Linked DNA regions of Arabidopsis thaliana. The protein of the gene in region 1 interacts with the protein of each later gene in a biochemical or structural test. Each region holds a gene or a part of one and is shown in the gene's direction. Other genes may lie near its edges. The genes, in order: GAMMA-TIP and TSPO.

Region 1 (12,535 bases):
ACAGCTCAGTATCAAAGATCTCCCGATACTCATAGTTGCATGTCTTGTGTACGAAGTAAAATGAGATAAATAGTACATACAGGGAGGCAATATCTCTAAGAGAAGCCATGGAAGCTTCTCTAACCACAGAGGAATCATCAGCTAGAGATGATACCAGAAGTTGAACAGCCTCTGCCAACAAAATATAAAAAAAGTAAACTTGATCAGATAAAACAGACATTGCCAAAACCAATGTTGACCCAATTACACAATTCAAGAGTTTTCGATCAAACAAGCCAATACACTGATCAATTTGAGGTAGATTAAAAAATCGAAATCGAAGATTCAGGAAGAAAGTTTTATACCTGGTGCAGGGATTGAGCTCCCTAAACTTGAAGAAGCCATTTCAAAAACCGATCAACTATTTCAAAAACCCAGAATTTCGAAGACCAAAAATTCGACTGTTTTGATCGATCAAGATTTTTTTCAGACGGAGAAGAATCCGACCGAGAGAGGTGAGAAGAAAGAGAGAGCCAGCTCTCGGAGCTCGGTAGTTAGTTATGAAATTTGCGTCGCCTCTTGTCGGAGGGACTTGAATGTTAAAAAGAAAAAGTTTGGGGGAAGAAAACAAATATATGAAACCAATTGTAACCGATGGACCCATACCCGACAAGACGGGTCCGGGTATAATAGCGGTTTTTTTAAGCCCGTTGCTTTTGGATCATTCTTTTGTTTCTATAGATTGATAAGAATGCTCAAATTATTGGCCCAATAATTTGAGCGGTGTTCTCTGAATCACTTTGTTCCTTTTTTCTTTCAACACTAACTAGAGTGTAAATTATGGCTTTGAATGGAGGAATGCAAGTGTTGGATGCAGCAAAATTGGAGTAGTAACACTAATAAGTGACAATTAGGATGATGATCATCTATAAGAGTAATTATTATAAACTTTGGCTTCATTTTTCTATTTCCATTTGTTTGTGTACTACCAAAAAATTTACACAAGTGGGTAAAAAATTCGTTTTGCAAAACACTGCTTTCAAGAGACAAGTATTTACCATGACTCTTGTAGATAGAGATCGAGTTCCAATTCCTCTAACCGATAATTTATAAATCTATTATCTTCACGTAGGTAGGATAATGGCGGAAGAGTGAAGATTCCATGAGCAATTTTTGTACTTCACACACCGACTTGAATCTAATGATACATGTTAGCAATATTTTCCCCGGAAACATTTCTCTAGTCAATTGGCTTTGCTTCTTCTTAGCTGTTTTCTTATGTTTGCTTCTTCTCGCCTTCTTTCTCCTATATTTTTTTTTTCCATAGTGTGATAATTAAGGGCTTGAACCTACAAGAGTTTTCTTTATTTAATTATTTTATTAATGCTTTCAATTTTTTCCTAATTATTATATTTGTAATAGTTAAATTTAATATATTATTTTTTTCTTTTAAAGAGGTAGAATGTGGTGTGCAATTACCAATTAGGAGAGGTTGGTTTAAAAAAATGGAGAAAATTAAATACCCTTTTTCAGTTTTTGCTTTGGACTAAGTTTAGCCTTTTAGCTAAATATACGTAAAGGCTCGAGCATAACACAATCCGATATTCTGAAAATCTGTTTCAATCACAAGATCCATTATCGTCGGATCGGAGAGGAGAAGTTTTCACCACCGTCCCACTGATCTCAGATTGTCGTCTCCAACTAGACAAATATGAATTTTCATGGTAAGAGTAAGAGAGATAGGCATGGAAGGCGGAAGAAGCAGAGAGACGAAATCGAGTATATGGCCAAAAGGGCACTAAGTGCTTCAAAGAAACTGAAGAGACAGTCAGTTATTGGGTACTCCAATGATTCAAACCCTTTTGGGATTCCAACATAGCCGAGACATTCGTGTGGCGGAAGAAGATTGAAAAAGATGTTCATCATGGAGCATCTCTAGATGAATTCTCTGTTAAACTAAGAGGATCAGAGAATGGGAGTTAACTAAAGCTCGTAGAAGAGATGAGGAATTGCTTGCTTCTCAAGAAAGAGCACTACACGCTGGTGTTGAAGCTGGTGTGAGAGAACTTCTTGATGGGAAGACTCACGCGGAGCTTGTACAACTGCAGTTTGACATCGAATCGCAGCTGCGCTCTGGAGCAGCCAAAGTGGTAGAGTATAGGGAAGCGGTTCTTAAACGCCTCAATAGATATAAAGCAAAGGCTTGCTTGAAGAAATAAACGCTGAGATACTTCAACTTTAAACGACTTCGGTACAGGCGATAAGGTGATTGGAGTTTTGGCTGGAGAAAACAAAAGTGGGGCAGTTATATATAAGACTTTGGCTGGTGTACTATTAAGGGTTGATTTCAAATAAATGAAATGCCTTTTGTGTCCAGAAAATACATCTACATGGTGGTAGTTTCTATCTTACAAAAGTGGCAAGTTATAAGACGTTGGCTGGCTAGTATCTTGTTTGGTTTGTTTCTATATACTTACTTTCCCTTTGTTAATTTTGTGAAACGTTGCTTGTTTATTGATAATCTCTATTTCGCATGCGTTCATTTCTGGATGATGTTCCCTATCTTCTGATTTTGATTTTTGTATTGTTAAACCGTACTTCCCATATAACACATTTTTCATTTTGTAGCAATGACCAATGAGCTTTACTTACAACATCTTGAGATGATAGCACGAAGTCGAACTTTCAAGTTAGCAGAATTGTAAAGGGCACAAAATAAAAGCAGTATATGGGTAAATGTCACCAATAAAATGCACCATGGAGAGCCGGAGAGAAGGTATGTTATTTGAGTCGGTATCAAAAACGAAAACAGTCACTGGTCAGGAAAAGTTACTTCTCCCATATGATATATCGGCAGATTTGGTATGATGTGTGCGAGTTAAGCATCTCATTCGTTAATAAAAGCATTAGCTATAAACAAGGAATTATCCATCTTTATATAACCTTATTGCAGAAATTTCTCTACCATAGCAATATAAATACGGTCCTTCTAATTTTGATTTTGCCGCTTGATTACTTTTGAAAATAACTAAATCTGGTTACTATAATTAAGTTTTTTAAGTGAAATGAATAAATTTGTGGTTAGATGATTCATGATTGTATTCATTAGGGGTCCCATAATCTAATATATTTATACTATCTTAATTTGTCAACGTGATGATATTATTTTCTGCATTGAGAAGCCATTTAAATTTGCATACACTCTTTATCACGTTAAGAAAAATCATTAAAAGTATTATTTAAGTCAACAATAATAATGTGATGTGAATTCTTTCTTGGTTCAAAAAGAAAACAAATTCTTTTTTTTCTTATTGGTCGGCCGGGTTAATAGATTGGGCGGTGTGGATTGTAGTTCGCTCGGATCATACTTAGAAATATTGTTGGTTTCTTCCCTCATTTTTGTCGACTTAACTATTTTGGGTTGTTTTGACCCCAAAAAAAAAAACCCACTATTTTGGTTTAATAGACAAAATTTAGTCTCTGTTGTTTAATTTTGTTTGATGGAAGTTTATATTGGTCCAAAATGAGATTCAGTTCAAATTAAATAAATAAATTATCTATTTAACCAAACTTATTTAAAAGAATTTATATGCTCTCAATCTTTTTGTTTGTAAAGATTTAAAAGTTAAAATTTTAAACAAATAACAAAATGGAGCAACGACGAATCTATCAACGTACGTACGTTCTCAGACATTACATTGTACAATTATTTCGACAAAAAAAAAAGCCTCATTGATTATCATTTATATATTATATCATAGAGATTCGTGCCCCTTATCTCGTTTTTTTTGCAAGACTAAACAAGTAACAAATTGCCTAGCTGCCTAAAGAAGTGAAGATAATACTCTTTCTAAAATCACAATATTCTCATAGTAAAAAAAAACATATTTATCATCATATCGTCCAAATATTTCAGTTTTGTTGTTTGTTTAACAATACAAATTAACAATGATTTAATTTGGAGCACTTGAATATAATAGTACACCGACCACAACCCCACACAATTCACAAACTTGAGAAAGAGAGAGAATATGCCCAAACTCACCAAACCTAATCATTTTCATAATTAACGAAAAAAATAGTTTCGGTAAGATGATGATGTCTTAGTTAACTTTTGCTTACTACTTTTTTAATCATTAAACAAAAAAAAATATTAAAAATCGTTTTCACTTGTTCAATACATATTTTTAAGTTTTATTTATAAGGAAAAAAACTTAATAGCTTATTGCACCAAAACTAATATGGTCCTTATGGATCAGTTTCATGTTTTTAGTTTTTTATGTAATGAAAATTTGAATTATTTTCTAAAAATATGTGTACGATATGGTTCGATTTAAATAGAAACCATGGTTCAAAACGTCAGATTAGTAACGTTCATAAAACTGAACGACTTAATTATGTCCACGTATACGGTTGGTTTCTTTCAACGTTTTTAGATAGTTAATGCTTTGAAATCTTAGTTAGTTATACAAAGGTAAGGTAAACGGTCCAAAAATGATTGTTCTCAATCAAGTTTTAAATAAGAAGGAGAAAAAGTCAACAAGGAAATGCACCAATCAATAAAGTGTCACCAAATATATGAGGAATTCCGATGATTAGCTAGCGTTTTGAAAATACTTCGGCTACTAGCTATGTTTTTGAGAAGTACGTACATGTGGTTGGTAAAAGAATACTGGAACATTGTCACTAGAACGTTCGTGATTGTACGCAGTATTCATGCCAGTTGATGTTGTGCACCATCAATGTTCATTATGTGAACCACCCAAAAAGGCAAAAACAATGGATCATCCACCTAACAATCCACCCCAATCTAGGTAGTTCTAAAATCACACGACTTACATCAAAGGAAAAGTTTCACATGTTTATCAATCACAGGTCACAGTATGTTTGAAAGAGATGATAGAAAAAAGATATCAAATTTGTCCCGTGTTGATAGGAAAGTTGGTTTGGTATCGTATTATAATTTTCTCTACACACACACGACTCATGTTTCATGTGTTAAAAAAAAAAAGCAATCGTTTTAATCCCTTCCAATTTATATAAATCTGCGGGCTCTGTTTTTATATAAAGAAAATTGGATCAGTTGTATGAACTTCGAACTGTGCAAAAAACTTCAAAATGGTTCAACTATTTTGTCAAGGCTTGTAAAATAAATAAAAATTAGCACACTGTTAAAATTTGTAGTATTATATTTAAAAAAAAAAAAGATCAAATTAAACAAAAGAAAAACGAAATTATCACGTCTTTTATTTATTATTATTTTAAATAAATAATATGACATTTTAAATTTTGTTTGGAAATTAATCACTTTCTGGCAGTACCTCTCAGCCGAATTGTAAACCTAAACCGCCCAAAAGGGACAGATTGCATCGTGGTGGTAGGACATTCATAAATTATTATTTTTCCTTAAGTGGAGGGCCGTCACACAATACTTTTTGCCCAATAGATAATTGGCCCACAAAATAAAATGCTAAAATAAATATATAATCTTTCTGTATGATTGTGAAAAAATGTGAGATTGTCTCGAATGTTAAAATTTGGTGCCACAAACAATATAAATATATAATCACAGAAAAATTGGTGCCACAAACAAGATAACATCTTATAATTTTCTCGTATACTTGGAGAGCGAGTTGAAAGAATTGCGATTAGAATAAAGCGTAGTGATTTGGCATTGAATATCATTTATGCTACATAATTCTACTTAGCGATAATATAAAAAAATATCATAACTTATGGTTAGCATGTAATGTCACTATACGAATATCAAATTCATAAAACTAGCCGTGACTTATCTACACAGAATTATTTATGTTTCGAGAATAAAGACCCAAGAGAAAACAACGACATTATAACAAAAAAACAACGACAGATTATAAGTAAGGAAGAAACAAATGACTATAGATTAGATATGAAATATTTTTAGTAACCATCTTTAGTTATAATTTTTGTTTTGGAGCTTGCTCCGTATACTCAGTTGAGTATTTTTACCACACATATATCAAGACTAAATTCTACCACTAATCAAGTAAAAACCTCTTAGCAAAATAGTTGGAGAAAAACAAGAATAAAATCGTATTATTTTCCTCTAGAACTATCGATCATTCGAGAGAGAGAATATGAAAAAGGGACAAAAGCTCTATACATGTACAAACATGACAAGTCATTATCCGCCACGTAGATTGGTCGGTTCCGCTTCGCTGGAATTATAGCGATGTACTTGTTTAGCCTGTTTTCAAAATTATTTAAATCTCTAACCGCTCCAATCAAATAATTTCTCCACCAAATATTAATAATATATCATCCGGTAACCGGTCACCAAAATGGCGCCACCTCAGATATAAGTAAGAGCACATAGTAGACCAGAAAAAATCATCAAATCCATCTCCCACTCTTCTAGCATCTTGAAGCTTAAATCTCAGCCGTCCGATCATGCCGATCAGAAACATCGCCATTGGCCGTCCAGATGAAGCCACCCGTCCCGATGCCTTAAAGGCGGCGTTGGCTGAGTTCATTTCAACTTTGATCTTTGTCGTCGCCGGTTCAGGCTCTGGCATGGCTTTCAACAAGCTCACTGAAAACGGAGCCACCACTCCTTCTGGTCTCGTAGCTGCTGCAGTGGCTCATGCCTTTGGACTCTTCGTCGCTGTCTCAGTTGGTGCCAACATCTCTGGTGGACACGTTAACCCTGCCGTCACTTTCGGTGCTTTCATTGGTGGTAACATCACTCTCCTCCGTGGTATCCTCTACTGGATTGCTCAGCTTCTCGGCTCCGTCGTCGCTTGCCTCATCCTTAAATTCGCCACCGGTGGCTTGGTATGTCAAACTACCCTTTAGCCCTTTATTAGATCTCTTTTTGGACCTAACTTCTTTGTCAAGTAACTAATTAACCTTTTGAAAATTTTAGGCTGTGCCGGCTTTTGGTCTCTCTGCTGGAGTAGGAGTGTTGAACGCTTTCGTTTTCGAGATCGTGATGACATTCGGGCTTGTTTACACCGTCTACGCTACAGCCATTGACCCCAAAAACGGGAGTCTTGGAACAATTGCTCCCATCGCAATCGGTTTCATTGTTGGAGCCAACATCTTAGCTGGAGGAGCTTTCTCTGGAGCCTCCATGAATCCCGCCGTGGCTTTCGGACCAGCGGTGGTGAGCTGGACATGGACCAACCACTGGGTCTACTGGGCCGGACCTCTCGTCGGCGGTGGAATCGCTGGACTCATCTACGAAGTTTTCTTCATCAACACCACACACGAGCAGCTCCCAACCACAGACTACTGAATTAATCTCTCTTTTTCTCTCTTGTGTAATTTTATTCGACTTTGAATTTGAATTTTAATGTCTTTTTAATTTCCGTTTGTGTAATTTCGAATCATCAAGGGGTTTATGATCGTTCGATCTTTTAGATGAATCCTTGTCCGTTGGTTTCAAGAGTGGCCATTGCAATTTCGACTATATAATGTGAATTATGTATCAATCTCATCTTAAGTTTTCAAGTGTTGCAATATCTCTTTTTGCCATTTTGTCAAACTTTTAAATTCCACATCAGTCTTATTACACATTAACTTTATTTATGACCGAATTTATAAGAAATGAGTAAACAAATTATGAGTAATAAAAAAATATGATATATAATTATATATATTTTTTAAAAAAACTAGAATTTGATACAAGTTTCGATCTATTTACGTCTAACAAAATTCACCATATCTTTAACAAAAAAAAAAAAAAAAAAAAAAAAGAAGAAGACAAATTAAATTCACCATATGTATATGTAAAAATTTGAAAGTTGGAATGGTTGGCGTTTTGCAATAAGGGAATAAAATGATATTGTAGGGGTCAGTCAGTGAGGGTTACTAGTCAATCAATACTCAATAGTGAATACGGCTTTTCTTTTTTTTATGTTGCTTTGTATTTGCATTTTGCAAAGGGTGTGAATTTAGAAAAATAAGATCCAATGAGAAAGATTAATCTGTTTTCCTTTTACTTATTTTAAGCAGTAAGATTGTTTTGCAATAGAGATCTCAAGTCTCAACCATACTTGTCAAACAGGTCCGACCAAAATCAAGACATGATTCGATGAGGTGCTAAGTTTGACGTTGCCTAATGTCTTCGTTTGTCCGATACCATTTTCGGGTTTTATAACAAAAATTAGAATTCCTGTTTGGTTTTGGCATTTTAGAGATATTTCAAAATCTTTGGCCAAATGGATACGGATTGGCAGAAGCACGTGAAAACGTCTGTACCAATTCCTTACAATTTCATTGTCTTTTCTTCTACTGATCAAGGAGAGTTTGAAACTTCGGTCGACGCCACTAGCAGAATCGTACACTGGTGCAATTGCCGACATATTATCTTCCGAATAAGTTATGTTTTCTATACAAGAACATTGTAACTTTGAAGGTAAATATGCTTCGTTACATTAGAGTAACTATCTTTCAAATGTGATCACCATTTTCTATAATTAGATTTTGAGATAATCTGAAGATTTATTTACGCCATTTTAGACTCATTATAATATATGTATATTGTTGTATAATTTGGCAAAATTATATATTATATGATATTATCTAGAATGTTCGATATAATATTCAATACCCATGTGCCATTTTGGAAACTTATACCTAATGTTTTTGTAGGTTTCTCTTTCCCTTTTCCCTATAAATGTGTAATTTCTCATCAACCTTTTTGTGAGTGAATAGTATAATAAGAGTACACTCATAACTCGTACCAAACCATTATGGTCCTTATCAATCATATGGCTCTCTCACAAGCCACAAATCTAGTTCTTCCTTTATTAATTAGACTAGGTCGGTCACATGAACTAAACATAAACTTTTCATACATACACCGTAACACGCAGAATATTTAGAATTCAATCTCAAGTGAAAGTTGAACCGCATCAAACTGTAACAATTTTTATCTAGCACTCTAGCAGTTATATTGATGTTTAAATAAAGAGAAACGACCTAGCTGCAATAATATCAAAAGCAATTAGATCAAACTTGTTGGCGTTTCCTTTTATCTTTCTGCTATTGTGAAGATTGAAAATATATACAAACTAAGCATCTTATTGGCACTAATTAACCACGTTAGGGCAAAAGTGATTTCACAAATTCATTATCGTTAAATATGTCAAAACAAAACAATATGGGATACAGATTCGCAGGAGGGACAAAGCCAAAAAACTATCAAAAGTGATTGAAAAATGGACCGTAAAAGAGGACAGCTGGTTGGTCACTATCTGCTAAAGAGTAAATAGCTGAGTGACTGACCAATGCATAAATTATTAATGTTTGGGTCCCAAAATTTTCACAGATCTTCATCATTTTTAGGTTTTCTTCTCTAAATTATTTTCATTATTAGTATTCCAGTCTTCTAGGAAATGATAAATAGATTTATTATCCTTATGAATTTTGTTGAACTATGATTCATTATATGAGAGTATTTTGTAGAAACTAAGTTGTAGTAAAGAATACACATGATTAACATTTTAAGATACTAACCATTCTCACTCATAGAGTAACGTTTTTGTCTGCATACATCACCTTTCTTTTAATACAAGAAGAAGATTAACAAGTATCAATGTATCATCAAGGTACATTATTAGGGTTCTCTTTTCTCAAAGATATTGTTTATACTTTTAGGGGGTGTTATTCGTTAATGGATTTTAATAGAATTGAAATCCAACACTAATCCACTGTTATTCAACTAATGATTCTAAATCCAGCTTTAAAATCTAGTGTTATTGGAACTCATATTTGTAAATCATGCTTAATAGATTTTAAAGTTTGGTGTTATTCAATTAAGATTTTAAATATTTCATTAAAACCCAATGTTATTCAAAACTAAAAGACTTGTAAAATCTTTGTATATTAATTGATTTGAAACGAAACCTTTTTGGAGTTTCATGAGTAAATCATTAGAATCAAAATCCAAGACATATTGCAGAGATTTTGAAATTCATACAAACATATTCTTAAAAGCAATATCAGAAAACAAATCTAAAGCTTAAAGAATTGACTTTAACTCCATAATTGAATAACACCATCTTAGAGTTTACTTTTTGTTTTTCTAAAGTAAAACTGGTACACACGTTGTTGGGTTTGTGGAGAGATTATGTTCACTTTTTATGAATTCAAATGGGCCGGGCGGTGCCTAACATTCTCTCCGTGATTATTTAAAGTTTTCGCTTCTTTCTGTTACTCCAACGACAACGTCACTTATCAATGATCTTGTTTATTAAATCATATTTCTTACGTGAGACAACACACTACTTGGACAATTTTATTCCGTGAGTTTTACCTTAATCGGTTTAGAACTTCATTTTGGTTAACCATACGTCTATGGTTAGTTATTTTTAGGTCGAATTCTATTTTCAGCGAGTGTTTTAACATGTGTAGTTCGTGAAATCGGTAAAAGCTTTGTATCGTTTACGATCCATCGACGAAAGATGGTTTATTCTTGACTCCTGAGATCCCATTTTGGAACTCAAAAGAGAACTTCATTCATTTCGACAAGGAATGAGTGGAAAACTTGAAGAACGATGGAGATAATAAGCCTTTAAAGACATTTTTAAAACTGTCATTAAAACCAATTATTTGATAGTATATAGATTCTGTCTGTAAAAATCCTCTATACAAACACACGCACACCGTATTCAACTTTGCTCATATCAGATCTCTCTGCCACTAACAAGTTCTGGCGACTAGACAGATATCCCGCAATCCCAAAACTCCAGGTGTAGAACCTTGACAAGTATATGACCGGTTATCCACTGTGCTTAGCGGTCAATGAAGGACTTATTCATCAGCTCGACAGCGTTGTCCATGAACTGCATTCTCAGGAACAACAGATAGATCATTGTTAACTTACAAGTTACAACCATCGATAATAGAAAACATCAATTATGATCATGCTAACAAAACAGAAAATAGGTTCTAATGCGTTCATACTACGTGCTGAACACATTTCATTTCTAATTATGATAATGATTGACCCGATGCTCAATCAAAATTCCGGTCTAACCGATATTTTCTGCCATTAGCTGTTTGTGTGCAGATGATTAATCTATGCATACCAATTAGAGTTCAGGTTTCTCGGTTAGAACCAAGTGGCTTGACTAGTAATGCTACCAGGATCCAACTCCCACTAAGTCTCCCTTGTTGAGCCACATAATTACTTTAGGATTTTTCCTAACTAACGAGCTTACCCACACACAAAAAAATGACCATCTATGATCTTGATATGCGAGGAGTTATAGGATACAATAACCTAACCCTCTCTTATAATAACTTCACATAACACACTAGCCTTAGGCAAACAAGAGCTTTAAGAGTTCAAATTAAACAAATACAGAGAATGAAACAAGATTATCCAAGGTATTGGCTCATATTGACAAGGTCATATACAAGTGGATAAATTTGATTAAGACACATAGCAATAAAAGTGTTGGTCTTTACCTTCCCAAGCATTTTCAGCTCCTTTCCCACTGGTTCCAAGAATTTAAGATCAACTTCAACAGGCCACACCTATTCAAATACACCCAAAAATGAAACTATTAACAAATGAAACCTCATACTCCATGAATGATTAAAAACCTATGGAATAAAAGAAACTAATATTTCCCTTATGTTCAGACCTAGGCAGCTCTACGGTTTAAGAAACTAATCTCAAGAGTGAGCCAAAAATCAAAACTTACACAAAACTACCAAATCAACTCGAACATTCTACAAGGAAGACAACAGAAGATGACACTTTTCCTGTATGAATTCTAAGCCAATTTGAATACTAAAAACTTCTACTACACACATGCAAGCACAACAAATAACTATCCTCATTCTTTCCAATTCCAACACTCAAACATCATCAAGAGAACTCAAACTAAAGTAGTAATTTCTCAATAAGTAACAAACCTTAACACCAAGTAACCGAAGAGGTGTTACTTGGCCAGGAACAACGCATTCAGGTCCTGCGGATTCAAGTACAGCTTCCATCGCAAACCCACCTCCCACAGGATTCGGATGCTGCAGAGATTACACGCAACCCCATAATTAAAAAAAACTGTGAAAATTCCCAAATTTGATTGCAATCCGCAAAACAAACAACCTTCATGACGGAAATGGCGTAATCGGTTTCTGGGTTTTGAGAGATAGATAAAACCGGAGAGCGACTGATCTTAGGCACTGGTCTTCCTGACGAAACTCGCCATGGTGCATCCTCAGCTAGCGTCGCTCCTCCTTTCTTCGCCATTAAAGATTTCGTTTTTTTCGTTGGAGAAGCAGAATTCGAAATTGAGAGCCCTTAATTTATTCTCAAAGTGGATAGAAAGATTTATCTAAATTGCAAAGTAGAAAACTTTGTGGTCAGCTTTCGGATTGTCTTCGTGTGCTTCTTAAAGAGTCGCCATTTTTCTTAGGTTTCTCCTTCACTTTTTGCCCCTCATTAAGTGTTTAATTACGATATAGCCACTCACTTCATATAATATGAGAAAAATCTCAGCTCAATACAACAAAGAGAAAAACTTTAGCTTCTTACTATGAAACCCACACAGTACTC
Region 2 (12,064 bases), 4.1 Mb from region 1:
GCATCTGATTATTGGCGAAAGTCCACCACTAGCTAAACAACTGCTGACGCTACTCTGTCCCTCAAGAGGAACAACTCTAACCAGACATTGTGGACGCTGTTGGGTGTGGATTCTTTTTCCATATGCAGAAAGGGTTTAGTGACAAACAAAAAGCTAAACTTGCTTCTCTCTGTTATTTTGGTGACTCAGTTTAGCATATAATGTATCGCACTATTGACCCTTTTCCATGCATGGTGATTCACTTCTCACCATTCCCATAAAAAACAAAAGAGATCTAACAGTTTTTAAACTCAGATTCTATTGGTTCATAGTCTTATCCACAAGCTAGATCTTGTTCCCTCTCCAGATTTCCCTGTTTAAAGCTGAGTTTCAACAGCACAGCATCAATGAAACCTATGTGGGTTTTTAAATGTGAACCAATGTTTTAATTAGGGTGAAAATGAGAAGTTGTTACACGAAACTACATGGCTGTTCTAGTGTCACAATCAAACTTTTGACTATATCAGTGACATGTTTATTATTCCTCTGCAAGTTGTAGAAAGGTTAAAAACTTCACTTTTCTTGGCATTTCCGTGTTAATGGAATTCACACTCAACAAAAAAGCAACAGACAAGCTGATATCAGCTGTAAGAAGAAGTTTTTCTATGTAAGGTAAGTCTGAAAGATGACTATCAACATTTTCAAGAGTAAACATTAAAAACTTTAGATTCAATGGATGCAGAACACTGTATGCCATATGTATCAAGACTATGTAACCACCGAGTCTTATCTTATTTATTAAGAGAAAGAAAAGGAAATGAAGATGACTCTCATGGTAAGGAGCAAAAATAAGTAAAAGAAATCAAAATAGATAGACAAGGTGAAGCAAAAGCCTAAGAAAATAAGCTCATGTCTTCCTATTTTGGGCGTCAAGCTTTCATTTGCCAGCACCAGCCAATGTTTTAACAGAGACACTTCTCGACCAGTACTTAATAGAAGTATCACGAGACCATAAATGTAACTACAACTGAAAAACTCTTTGTTTACCTTCTTTAGGCAATTATCAACAGAACACAAGGACAGACAGTGACTAATAAACCAAGAACTATATAGAAAACCACAAGTCTCTTTTCCTAGTCACTGTGGAGGTTAAGGAAACAGTTCTTGTATCAAAAAAGTTGTGTTTTTTTCTTTCTAATCACAGATGATCATTCCAATATGATAACAGTTTGACAACAAAAGGTACTATTTTCAACAAACAAACAACTGAAACAAGTGTTGATGCTAAAGTTAACATGGACAATAGTAATCATTCTTCGTCATCAGTGAATGTATAACAAGAATCATGAAGGGGGCAATAGAAATTTCTTGATAAAAATGTCTTAAAGCCTCGTGGTTTTATGAGACAACACGAATCATGAAGGGGGTAATAGAATGACCTCAAGTCCTTAGTGAGCTTTGGAGATCTTTCTATGGTCTGTTTTAATTCGCTTCATCTAGATTCAGCTTGATCCAATCCACGCCCATATCGGTTATGACTTGCCTTGATCAATGATCATAGAGTAGCTATGTTCTATGCTACATGATCAAGTTCAATGCCAAAGAAGTTACTAAAAGAATAAAAACAAAAAGAAAGAAATTACCATGGATTCAACACAATAAGACAACAACAGTGAAAAGTCTAATACACAAGTTAGCATATTTGCTGAGGAAGATTTTGCACTTGCAAGGACAGATTATTACGCAAGAGGCACATATTCTACACCAAGTCAAATCAAGGAAAAGCTAAGAACCCAGTTTAATAGCATTACGACTATAAACTACGAAATTTAAAATTCTCATTTTTTAGTTTCTTCTCTTTCTTTTAGTACAGGAAGATTCCCAATGCCGTTGAAAAACAAATACCTTGTGTCTAATTCTAAAGCATTTCGTACTAAAATAATTGTTAGAATTTAATGACCAAAATCATTAACACATGTAATTGCCGCCAAATTACAAATTTTTTTATTATAAATCACCATGTTTACAAAACACATATAGTTAAGTTAACCGTTACTTTCTTTAGCTTATCTCTAAGTCTTGGAAACAAGAAGAAAAAAAAGAGCATCAAAAGGTTCAGTTATGCTTTTTTGTGTATTTGGGATTTAGGGTGTTCTTTGAGCTGATAAGGATCGACTGAAGGAGCTAACCAGAGACCCACCAGAATGATCAAGTGTAGACACAATAGCAAACCCGAGGAGGACGGTGTTGATGGATAAACATTCCAACAGAGCTCAATGCCGAGGAACATGATCAAGCTTTTACAGCCAAAAGAAAAACAAGAAGACGAGTTAGGTTTTGATATTTTAACTGTTGTTACAGTAAGAAATGCAGAAATAACTTACCGCAGCCAAGTGGGAAACGGTGTTCTCCATAGTAGATAAGGTAGCGAATAGAAGTACCTGTTATGATCATATGAGTATTGGGGTTGAGGCTAAGAATGTTCGAGAAACGTAAGATTTAGCCAGGTTATTTGGTTACCATGAGTAGAACTGGTAGTGCAGAGAGCGAGCAAATACAATGCCGATGAAATTCCCAACAAACATGGCCGTGACGACATCTGCGAATCAAGTGGAATGCCTGTAAGTATGGACATAGGGAAACATAAGCTAAAATAACAGTAAGAGCTTACGTTCTTTCGTAATAATCCGTGAGGCTGATACATCACTGAACGAGAGTGAAGACGGAAGTGTCAAGAAGAAATGCCTAGAACGCATGAAGCCTATAATCCCGCCTTCATGCCTATAAAATCAACATATTAATTACAACTAATGCTAAACACACAAACTGCAACTGCTTTCAAATTGCAGCTGCCTTATGATTGTACGTACTTGCACCACTTATAATTTGCGAACGCCACAAGGAGAAAAAGGTGAGCAATGAGCAAGCATACTGCAAATTCTTTGGACACAAAAACTCGTTCTGGAACAAATTTGAAGTTAACAGACCTGTTGAGAGCTCAAACTAGAGTTAGAGGTCAAAAGACATTTTTAGATCCCATCAACATGTTTTTTAGATTTGGCGGGAGAGAAGCGAACAATACCAGAAATGAATGAAAACACGTCCAAGATCAAAGGCGTTTGCTATGTATGAAACCGGATATGTTATCAGAAACGGCAGTCCCACGAGTATCTGTATAACCATTCATTGACCAGCTGAATGGTACTTCTTGCATAATCAAAACTATAATTCGCTGGATAATGCAACTCACCTATTTACATTGAAGAAACTACAGTTAACAAGTTTCCAAATTGTCTTGGAGAAACAATGCTACGCATACAAATTGGTGAATAAGAAGGCTTATAAGAGATATAGTGAAACCTGAACAAGAGCTGCACCAGCCAAAGCAGACACCACTCCAATGATATTCATGGCCTGTGAATAGTAAAACTTCACATATGAAGAAAAACAATGCTAGAAGAATAATAAAGCAAATCCATAAACTAATTCTCTTCCACGAACATATATACCTTAAGTAGCAGAAGTAACAAAGTTGGAGCATACAAAAGTACATTCATCTTTACAGAAACAGCTCCACTGTATAAAAAGAAGGGTAAGCAGACTAGTCAATCTAAAGAATCGAGAAGCAAAAGCAGCAATCTAACCTGAAAACAAGCATCCCTAGATGCCATTTACGATAGAGAAAGAGAGCCATTGATGCATGTAGGAGAGTCATGGCAAAACAATCATTAAAGAGACGGAGAACAAAGATTGAATGTATCCTCTTGGATAAACATAGTAGACTTAATGCCCACCATGGCACCTGAAATACGTAAGGATACAAGAAGAGATATCATCACTGAATTCACTAAAATCACTCCCATCATAAACAGACAAATCAAAACCAAAATATTGTTCATTAACATCGTAAATGGACAACGCTTGACAACGTCTACAAATACTTGATGAAAAGAGATAAGAAATAAGTCTTCATTTATACCACATCAGTCTTCACGTAGATGATCAAGACGATCCCCAGATTGACAATGTAGAGAACACCAAAAAGAATCTGCAAAATGTAAGAGAGTAGAATTGAGACAAATGAAGCGATGGATGGATCAAATTCCGCAGCTAATCCAAAGATAGGAGATTCAAAGAGAGGGAATTGCAAGCACCTGAGCAGGGTAGACTTCCCCTCCAGTTAAGTTCTGCACTGCAGAGTAAACATAGAGGAAACCTGCTGGATAAACCAATGGCCCTGTATCGCCTTTCAAGTTCCCATAGTCTCTCTCTCCCCCGAGAAACCCACTAACCTGCCCCAATTAGATAAATTTCACTTAAAGACTACTAGTTTACTTTGAAGAAACCACAGTTGACCATTGACACTTACCTGTGACATGTAAGCATCCCAATCGATCTTCGTGTCTGTTAAAGGCAAATGACGAAATTTGGTTTAAAACCTATGCAAATGCACATTTCGAGGGATACGCAAGCAAAAAAAAAAAGGAGGTAAATAGCTCTCACATGGAACATAGGCGATAATAAGTGCGACTAGGATTGCATCAGCAAGAATTAGCGCGAATGCGAATGGAACTGCAGGTTTTTTGAATAGATCGGATCGATTCGTCTCCTTCCCCAGCCGACGGCTACGAGAAGCTCTCAAACTCGCCGGTGATGAGGCGCCCGCCATGAAAACAGAGCAAATCGCATCAGCGTCTAGCCAACGCCGCGTAACAGACAACTACTTCCATATTACTACTCTTCTAATTAGCCCAAATTAAATGAGCCTATTGGGCTTCTTGTCTTAGTCGGTGTAGAGCCCAATTGTTGTTTTATTTTTTAATAATGCAAAAGTATTAAGCGATAAATAAATAAGCATCGCAATCGTCCCAAAACTGTGTGTATGCATCAGACATGAGCATATAGAGTAAGCACGTGTCCACACTTTTTCACAAAGTTATCTAAAAACAAAAAACAATTAATTAGCATTCGACGTGTACATATCACTCGCCACGTGTACAAGAGCCTTGGCCTTTTTGCTTCTTCTTCTTGTCTATTAATATCATCTCCTGATTATACTCTCTTTTGACCAAGCTGCTTCTTCTCCATCTATCCAACATCTCAAATCTCAGTAATCTTGTTCCTTCGATTCTGTTTTGGACGTTTGTAATGGATTCTCAGGACATCAGATACCGCGGCGGAGACGACAGAGACGCTGCAACGACGGCTATGGCCGAGACAGAGAGGAAAAGCGCTGACGACAACAAAGGAAAACGCGATCAAAAGAGGGCGATGGCGAAACGTGGTCTCAAGTCTCTGACGGTAGCGGTTGCGGCTCCTGTGCTCGTGACGCTCTTCGCTACGTATTTCCTCGGCACAAGCGACGGATACGGGAATCGAGCTAAGTCCTCGTCGTGGATCCCACCTCTGTGGCTCCTACACACAACGTGTCTCGCTTCTAGTGGTCTGATGGGTTTGGCTGCGTGGCTTGTATGGGTTGACGGTGGCTTCCACAAGAAGCCCAATGCTCTGTATCTTTACTTAGCTCAGTTTTTGCTCTGTTTGGTTTGGGATCCGGTTACGTTCCGCGTCGGGTCGGGAGTAGCGGGGCTTGCGGTGTGGTTGGGTCAATCGGCTGCGTTATTCGGATGCTACAAGGCCTTTAATGAGATAAGTCCGGTCGCTGGTAATCTGGTAAAGCCGTGTTTGGCTTGGGCTGCCTTTGTAGCCGCTGTTAATGTAAAGCTTGCAGTCGCGTGAGATCTGTAAACGCTATACGATGATGTTTGTAGAGTCTGAGTCATATGAGTGTTTCTTGTTGTTTTTGTTTTTTGTGATATATACCATAAAAGATGTCTTTGCGATCCAATGGTCTGGTCATTGTGGAGTAATAGACATGAACATGATATACTTGAGAAATAATGTGATATTGTAGAAGTTTTAAGCGTTGGTCTGAAATCAAACTGTGAGATTCTTAAAAGGCGATCGTTTTACTTTTATGTCGCCGAAACGGAACAAATTCAAACGGTAAAGCCAACTATACTTTGATCAGTTTTGGGTTGGGCCGTTGACACTGTTTTGTGGGCTTCTCAGTCAGTGGTAAACCTAAAATTAATATAGGAACTCGAGGATTAGGGCCCAATCCATTTTAACACGTGATGATATCATGTAAGGTTTGGAGGGAATATACAAAAAGTGGATGAATGATAGCGAACGAGAGGTCCTTGTGCTTTTTTGATTTACCCTCGAGACTCGTGCCGACGGAGTGGCCGTGGCTTTCGTGCAACAGTCTCGACCCATACCTCGACACGTGTTGAAAACGGTCCATTAAGAGTAAGACATCTGTCAATAGGACAGCTGTCCTAGAGGTCACTCGTCTCTCACAATCCAATCCCTTTCGCTTAAATTAAAACTAAAATGGAGCATGGCAGCAACATGCCACGTGGCTCACCAGTTTCAAATCTGAGCCGTCCGGTGTGATATAAGTCTTTTTAAAGAGAGAGAGAGCGGTTCGTTTGTCTGCAACGGCACCAAGTCTTTGACAATGGCTGAAGATGAAATAGTAGTCGAAGAAGAGCAATCACAGCCACAGGAGATTACTCCAGTTCCACCATCTTCTTCGTCTTCGCCTTCGTTAGTGGTGGAAGACGACGATGAGATGAAGCTCAAGCACTTGGAATTCATTCAAGTCGCGGCGGTTTACTTCGCCGCCTGTTTCTCGACCCTCTACGAGTTGGCTAAAGACAACGCTGGTCCACTCAAACTCGGCGTCGAGAACATTGAAGATTGCGTTCGAACCGTGCTTGCTCCATTATACGAAAAATTCCACGACGTTCCTTTCAAGCTTCTCCTTTTCGTCGATCGTAAGGTAACAATCAGAATGTAATTCTTAACTTGAATATCGCTTCGGTTTCATGAGTGAGAGGCAAATGATTTGCTTGGTTTTCAGGTGGACGATGTGTTCTTCGATGTTGAGACATATGTTCCGTCATTGGTGAAGCAAGCTTCTAGCCAAGCGCTCACGGTGGCCACGGAGGTGCAGCGCACCGGCGTTGTGGACACTACCAAGAGCATTGCAAGAAGCGTCCGGGACAAGTACGAGCCAGCGGCAGAGTATTACGCAGCGACGCTGTGGCGTTTACTGAATCAACTGCCGTTGTTCCCTGAAGTTGCGCATTTAGTGATCCCCACGGCGTTTTACTGGTCAGAGAAGTACAACGATGCGGTTCGTTACGTTGGCGACAGAGACTACTTTGGGGCAGAGTATCTACCCATGATTCCTATTGAGAAGATCTCTGATATTTTGGAACAAGATCAGTGTCGAGCTGATTGACTATTTACTCTTCTGAAGCCAAAGATTCCTTCTTCTATAGAGTATATATACTGTATGTACTCTGTTTTTCTTTCCTTTCTGCAATTTGCTATCCCAAGAGATGTAATCTTTCTTCAATATTTCATTTAAACAACTTTGCCTTTTAATAATAACAAGAACAAGAGACATAAAGGAAACTGTCCTCTTCAGTCTCAACTTTTATAAAAGACACAAGACCCAAAAAGTAGTATCTGTTTACTAGTAAGGAGAGTGTCTGTTTTTCTTGCGGTTCCTTGGCGGCTTAACAACCAACTCACTTGAAGTCCAAGACCGGTTAATCTCGGTAGCATCCTCATCCGACTTCCAGCAACATAGTCGCCCATCTTCACCCCCAGTCCATCCAAATAACCCTGCAGCTCCTCCATACTCGCCTGGCATCTGCAGAACGCTCCTTACTACATCTATGTGACCTCCACCAAGAATAGCTTCAGCGGTACCGATTGATCCAGGCTGTTTGTAGTTCACCGGAAAATAACCAACGGTTCCTGCGCACGTTCCACCGATCACCCATAAATCTTCACCTCCTGGACAATGACAATCAACAAAATAATCAACCTGCAAAAGAGTAATGGGAAAGTTCAACTCTGTAAGTAACCATTAGGTTTCTGGTTAGTGTTAATGTTTTACTAGAAGGGAAAGAATGAGATTGTTACATTATCTTGAGTCCAACTATCTGATGCGAGTTCCCGAGCTTTCTCTAGGTTGACTTCACAGCTTCCGTCTTCCCAATTCCAAATACTAGAAAGGAGTAAAGAAATTAAAAACAGCACAAGTAACAGACTACAGTTGGAGAGGAGGGCGTGAAAGAGTACCTTAGAGTTTCTATATGAGTGAGACACCAGAGCTTTTTATAGCCATCTCCGAGGAAACCTATTTTGCCAATTGAAGTTCCCACGTTGATGACCTAAAGAGCGACCAAGGCAGAAATGGTTCAGAACTCTCATCTACTATCTTGATGCAGCAAGAAGGCTGATACCTTAAATCTAAAACTTACAGATTCCAGATGATCATCGTCATTGATATCACCTTCAGTGTTAAAAAGACATATCAATCCATCCACGGAAGCGGAAAGAAGCTTGTTGGGCTTGTTAGGAACAAAGTGTACCTATAATTAAGAACAGAGTTGACATCTATAAACTAACAACAAACTAGTTCCTTTCCCGCTTGAGCAGAAAGAATGAGAGAGCAACAAACCTGAGTGACGTCGTCCATGTGGGATTCCTCTAAACAAGCAACTTGCTTTGAGTTTCTCCAGTCCCACAAAAGAACCTGCACCATCGCTTCAGATTGTAACAAGCTGAAACATAGAAAATGCTCAAAACTAGCCTTTTTTCTTTCTCAAAGTGTACTCCTTTTTAAACATTTAGAGAAACAAAAAAAAAAACACGATTCCACAGGATTGAGATGCCTAACCTGCTCTTTGCATCCACCAGCCAGAAGATTATCTGCAGCACCTCCATAGGAGAAGCTGAAAATCTCCTGATCATTCCCAGTATCAATACGCGAAACCTGAAACACCCATGATCAACTTAAATTCAATGAGTTCCGAAAATGGAATCACATTTACGACAGAATTTATATAAAAAAAAAAAAACTCACCTGTTGGAAACTTCGAGTGTCCCAAGATCTAATGGTACCATCGGAGGAACAAGAGTGCAAAACGTGAGGAGACGCCGCCGAGTCGGAGGAAAACGCAATCTGATTGACGGTATCGGAGTGGCCTTTACATTCGCCGTAGTACTGACCAGTCACCGGCGAGTAAAGCTTGACGGTGTTGGTTGATAAGGAAACCGCGATTGCTGTCCAATCGATTCTGTCACAAAACCAGAGTTGGGTTCACTTTCAGTAAACTAATTAGTATGGTTATCGAAAAGAGAGAACAGAAAGCTTTTACTTTGGGACAATCTGGAAGACGTAGTCAGAGCCGAAGTTGGTCTGAATAGAGTTCTTGAGCCCAAATTTCTTCACGTTTTGAGCCGGAGAAGAATCCGAAAGCTGACGATTTTGAACCTCCACTTCCATCTCCGACGACACTTCTTCCATTTGCCGTTTCAGCGAAATTGATAAGGGTTTTAACGGTCTAGGGTTTGTTCGTTGATCAAAACGAAACGAGGATTAGCACTTACCTCTCTAAGTCATAGAGAAGGTTATAACTCTATAGGTCAAAATTTAGGCCTGTTTTAACCTTTTCGGCCCATTTAACGCACGGTCCAATACGATTATTAGCCCAAGGAAACAACAACCAACTCGCTCGCTCACCGTGCGCTTCTTCTAAACATGTCCATAGAAACATAAACATACTAAAATGTGAAAAGATTAAATTAAAAAACGGATAGAAACATATAGAAAGCCACGTGATGGTAGCAAACAGATTTAGTGGTTACAACCAGATATCATTTGATATTGAGATTTATGAAAATGTCCTTTTTCAATGGCTCCGATCGGTCAGTGATCGGATCTAATATTATAAAGGTGTGTTGACCCATAACATAATATTATTACTAATACAAGTAACATGCGGTAATTAACTCTATGTCGATCTTTTTTCTCTGCATATATATCTTTTAGTCGGTTTTTTCGTTCTTGCTAATCGTTATATTCCTCTACACATGGCAATGGAAAAGAAACGAGTAACAACAACAAGTAGCCTGCAAATAATTAAGTGCGATAAGACAACTCTGCTCTGATTGGAAACTGATATTCCGGCCCGTCCCCCTTTTATTACGTAGGAGTAATAAAATTGGGAACGTCAACTTATATTAATCATGACGACGTTTTCTCAAGGGAGCAAATTGTACGTTACGTCTCATATTATCACCACTTTTTTGCAGCAACACAGTTTTATTTCACACAATACAACAACACTTTATATTATATATGAGAGTGATAGAATTTTATCATTCCATATTTCCATGATATAAAGGGTTCCAATAATTGGTCCAATTTTTCTAATAAGACTTTTCTTATTCTCATAGACTCTTCTTATTCATCTTTCTTAATCAATTCGACCAACTCAGTGGAAGACAAATCTCACACGACCCTTTCCACTTTTTGGTAACTTTATTATTAATTTATTAGTATGGTGTAGTTCCTTTCTTTCTTCTGCTGATCTTGTCAACAAAATACTAAATTTTTCCTAAGCGGCTGTTTATATATTATTAACAAAGGTTTCCGCGTGTCTCTTGTTTAACTAGTAGACTAAAAACAAATCGTAAACTCGATTTTCTCAACCAAATTTAGAAGATACTACGGCATGTAATTAGCTAATGATAAAAGATTCGAATTTTCGTTCCAATGGATTTGTCTTTTCTTTTGCCCAAAACCAAGAATTTGTCTTCTCTTGGCAGTATTTAGCTAGACAACGCATATAGCTATATATTTTGTGTACACTGGTCAAGGTCGTGGATACGTCATTAATAATATTATTTCCAATAAGTCCTATTAAAACATTAAACAACTTTGAGTTTTAAAACAAACTTAGTGTAAAGAAAATAAAAATAGCAGACAGTTTACGGGTAAGACTAGATGACCATATATGATTGAGTGCATAAAACATCTTTTTTCTTTCTTTTTTTGAAAAAGCGAAACTAAAAGATTATTAGTTGTTGGAAATCAGCTTAGCGTAATCTTCGAGAAAATGACTCTAATGCTAAAATACTGATTTAATCAATTTTCTAATGGTTTGACCCAACAGACTTTTTTTTTTTTCTATCCTCTAATAATATATAATCATATAGTAGTAATTATTTAGTAGATAATATGATTAACACGTGAATAGCAAAGTTTCTATCATTTTTATTCAAAAAAAGATTCATAAGTAATAAAATGATAGTCAACTTTTCTTTTTCTTTTTGTGTTTGGCCTTTTGTTGCAGCGTCATTGTTGTACACCACCAGTCACACTATTGTGGGATGTGATAATCGGTACCTTTTAATGTCAGGAGCTTCTTTCTTACATTTTCCACTTCAAACAAACCGATAATTCAGAGGAATTTTCTCTTCCTCTCTCTCTCTCTTTTTTATATTTTTTCACTGGGAAAAATGTGGTTGCTTTCGTCTTCTCCATGGCTCTCTGAGCTCTCATGTTCATATTCGGCTGTTGTAGAACATACGTCTTCAGTTCCAGTACCAATCCAATGGCTCAGATTTGTTTTACTCTCTCCTTGCCCTCAACGCGCTCTCTTCTCCGCCGTTGATTTTATATTCCTCCTCTGCTTCGCTCTTCACAAGCTCTTTTCTTCTCCTTCTTCTTCTTCCGAAATCAACGGACACGCTGAGATTAGGAAACCTCTTATTGGTATCCGTGGAAGAACCCCAACCAGAACAACCGCATGGTTCAAAACGACGGTCGCAGTCACCGTTCTATTGTCGTTTTGCTCCGTCGTGCTCTGCGTTTTGGCCTTCACTGGCAAGCGACGGACTCAGAGACCATGGAACCTCATAGACCCGCTCTTTTGGCTTATTCACGCCGTTACACACCTAGTCATCGCCGTTCTCGTCCTCCACCAGAAGAGATTCGCTGCTCTAAATCATCCCTTATCTCTACGAATCTACTGGATTTCCAGTTTCGTCCTCACGTCTCTCTTCGCCGTCACTGGGATTTTCCATTTTCTCTCCGACGCCGCCACGAGTCTGAGAGCAGAAGACGTCGCTTCATTCTTCTCCTTCCCTTTAACCGCCTTTCTTCTCATCGCCTCCGTCAGAGGAATCACCGGCCTCGTCACAGCGGAGACCA

What was found.
Region 2: the proteins of GAMMA-TIP (region 1) and TSPO form a complex in vitro, tested with the Arabidopsis thaliana proteins (one study listed by BioGRID).

What each region holds. Positions count from the first base shown.
Region 1 is NC_003071.7:15,439,079-15,451,613, forward strand, and holds GAMMA-TIP (gamma tonoplast intrinsic protein), read left to right. Parts: upstream 1-6,215; 5' UTR 6,216-6,411; coding exon 6,412-6,795; intron 6,796-6,886; coding exon 6,887-7,258; 3' UTR 7,259-7,543; downstream 7,544-12,535. Other genes in the region: AT2G36810 (ARM repeat superfamily protein), read right to left, coding at 81-171, 345-384; AT2G36815 (mid region of cactin), read left to right, coding at 1,691-1,758, 1,943-2,198; AT2G36835 (uncharacterized protein), read right to left, coding at 10,761-10,811, 11,440-11,508, 11,893-12,003, 12,086-12,229. UniProt on the Arabidopsis thaliana protein: Water channel required to facilitate the transport of water, diffusion of amino acids and/or peptides from the vacuolar compartment to the cytoplasm. Does not promote glycerol permeability. May play a role in the control of cell turgor and cell expansion.
Region 2 is NC_003071.7:19,563,574-19,575,637, forward strand, and holds TSPO (TSPO(outer membrane tryptophan-rich sensory protein)-like protein), read left to right. Parts: upstream 1-4,890; 5' UTR 4,891-5,127; coding exon 5,128-5,718; 3' UTR 5,719-5,934; downstream 5,935-12,064. Other genes in the region: ALG3 (asparagine-linked glycosylation 3), read right to left, coding at 2,099-2,276, 2,364-2,420, 2,500-2,578, 2,651-2,760, 2,850-2,966, 3,062-3,150, 3,340-3,393, 3,489-3,555 and 5 more; AT2G47780 (Rubber elongation factor protein (REF)), read left to right, coding at 6,503-6,826, 6,908-7,291; AT2G47790 (Transducin/WD40 repeat-like superfamily protein), read right to left, coding at 7,529-7,885, 7,984-8,068, 8,143-8,234, 8,325-8,435, 8,525-8,599, 8,744-8,839, 8,930-9,143, 9,225-9,373; ABCC4 (multidrug resistance-associated protein 4), read left to right, coding at 11,371-12,064. UniProt on the Arabidopsis thaliana protein: Stress-induced membrane protein that can bind heme and may play a role in the transport of tetrapyrrole intermediates during salt stress and contribute to the detoxification of highly reactive porphyrins in the cytoplasm.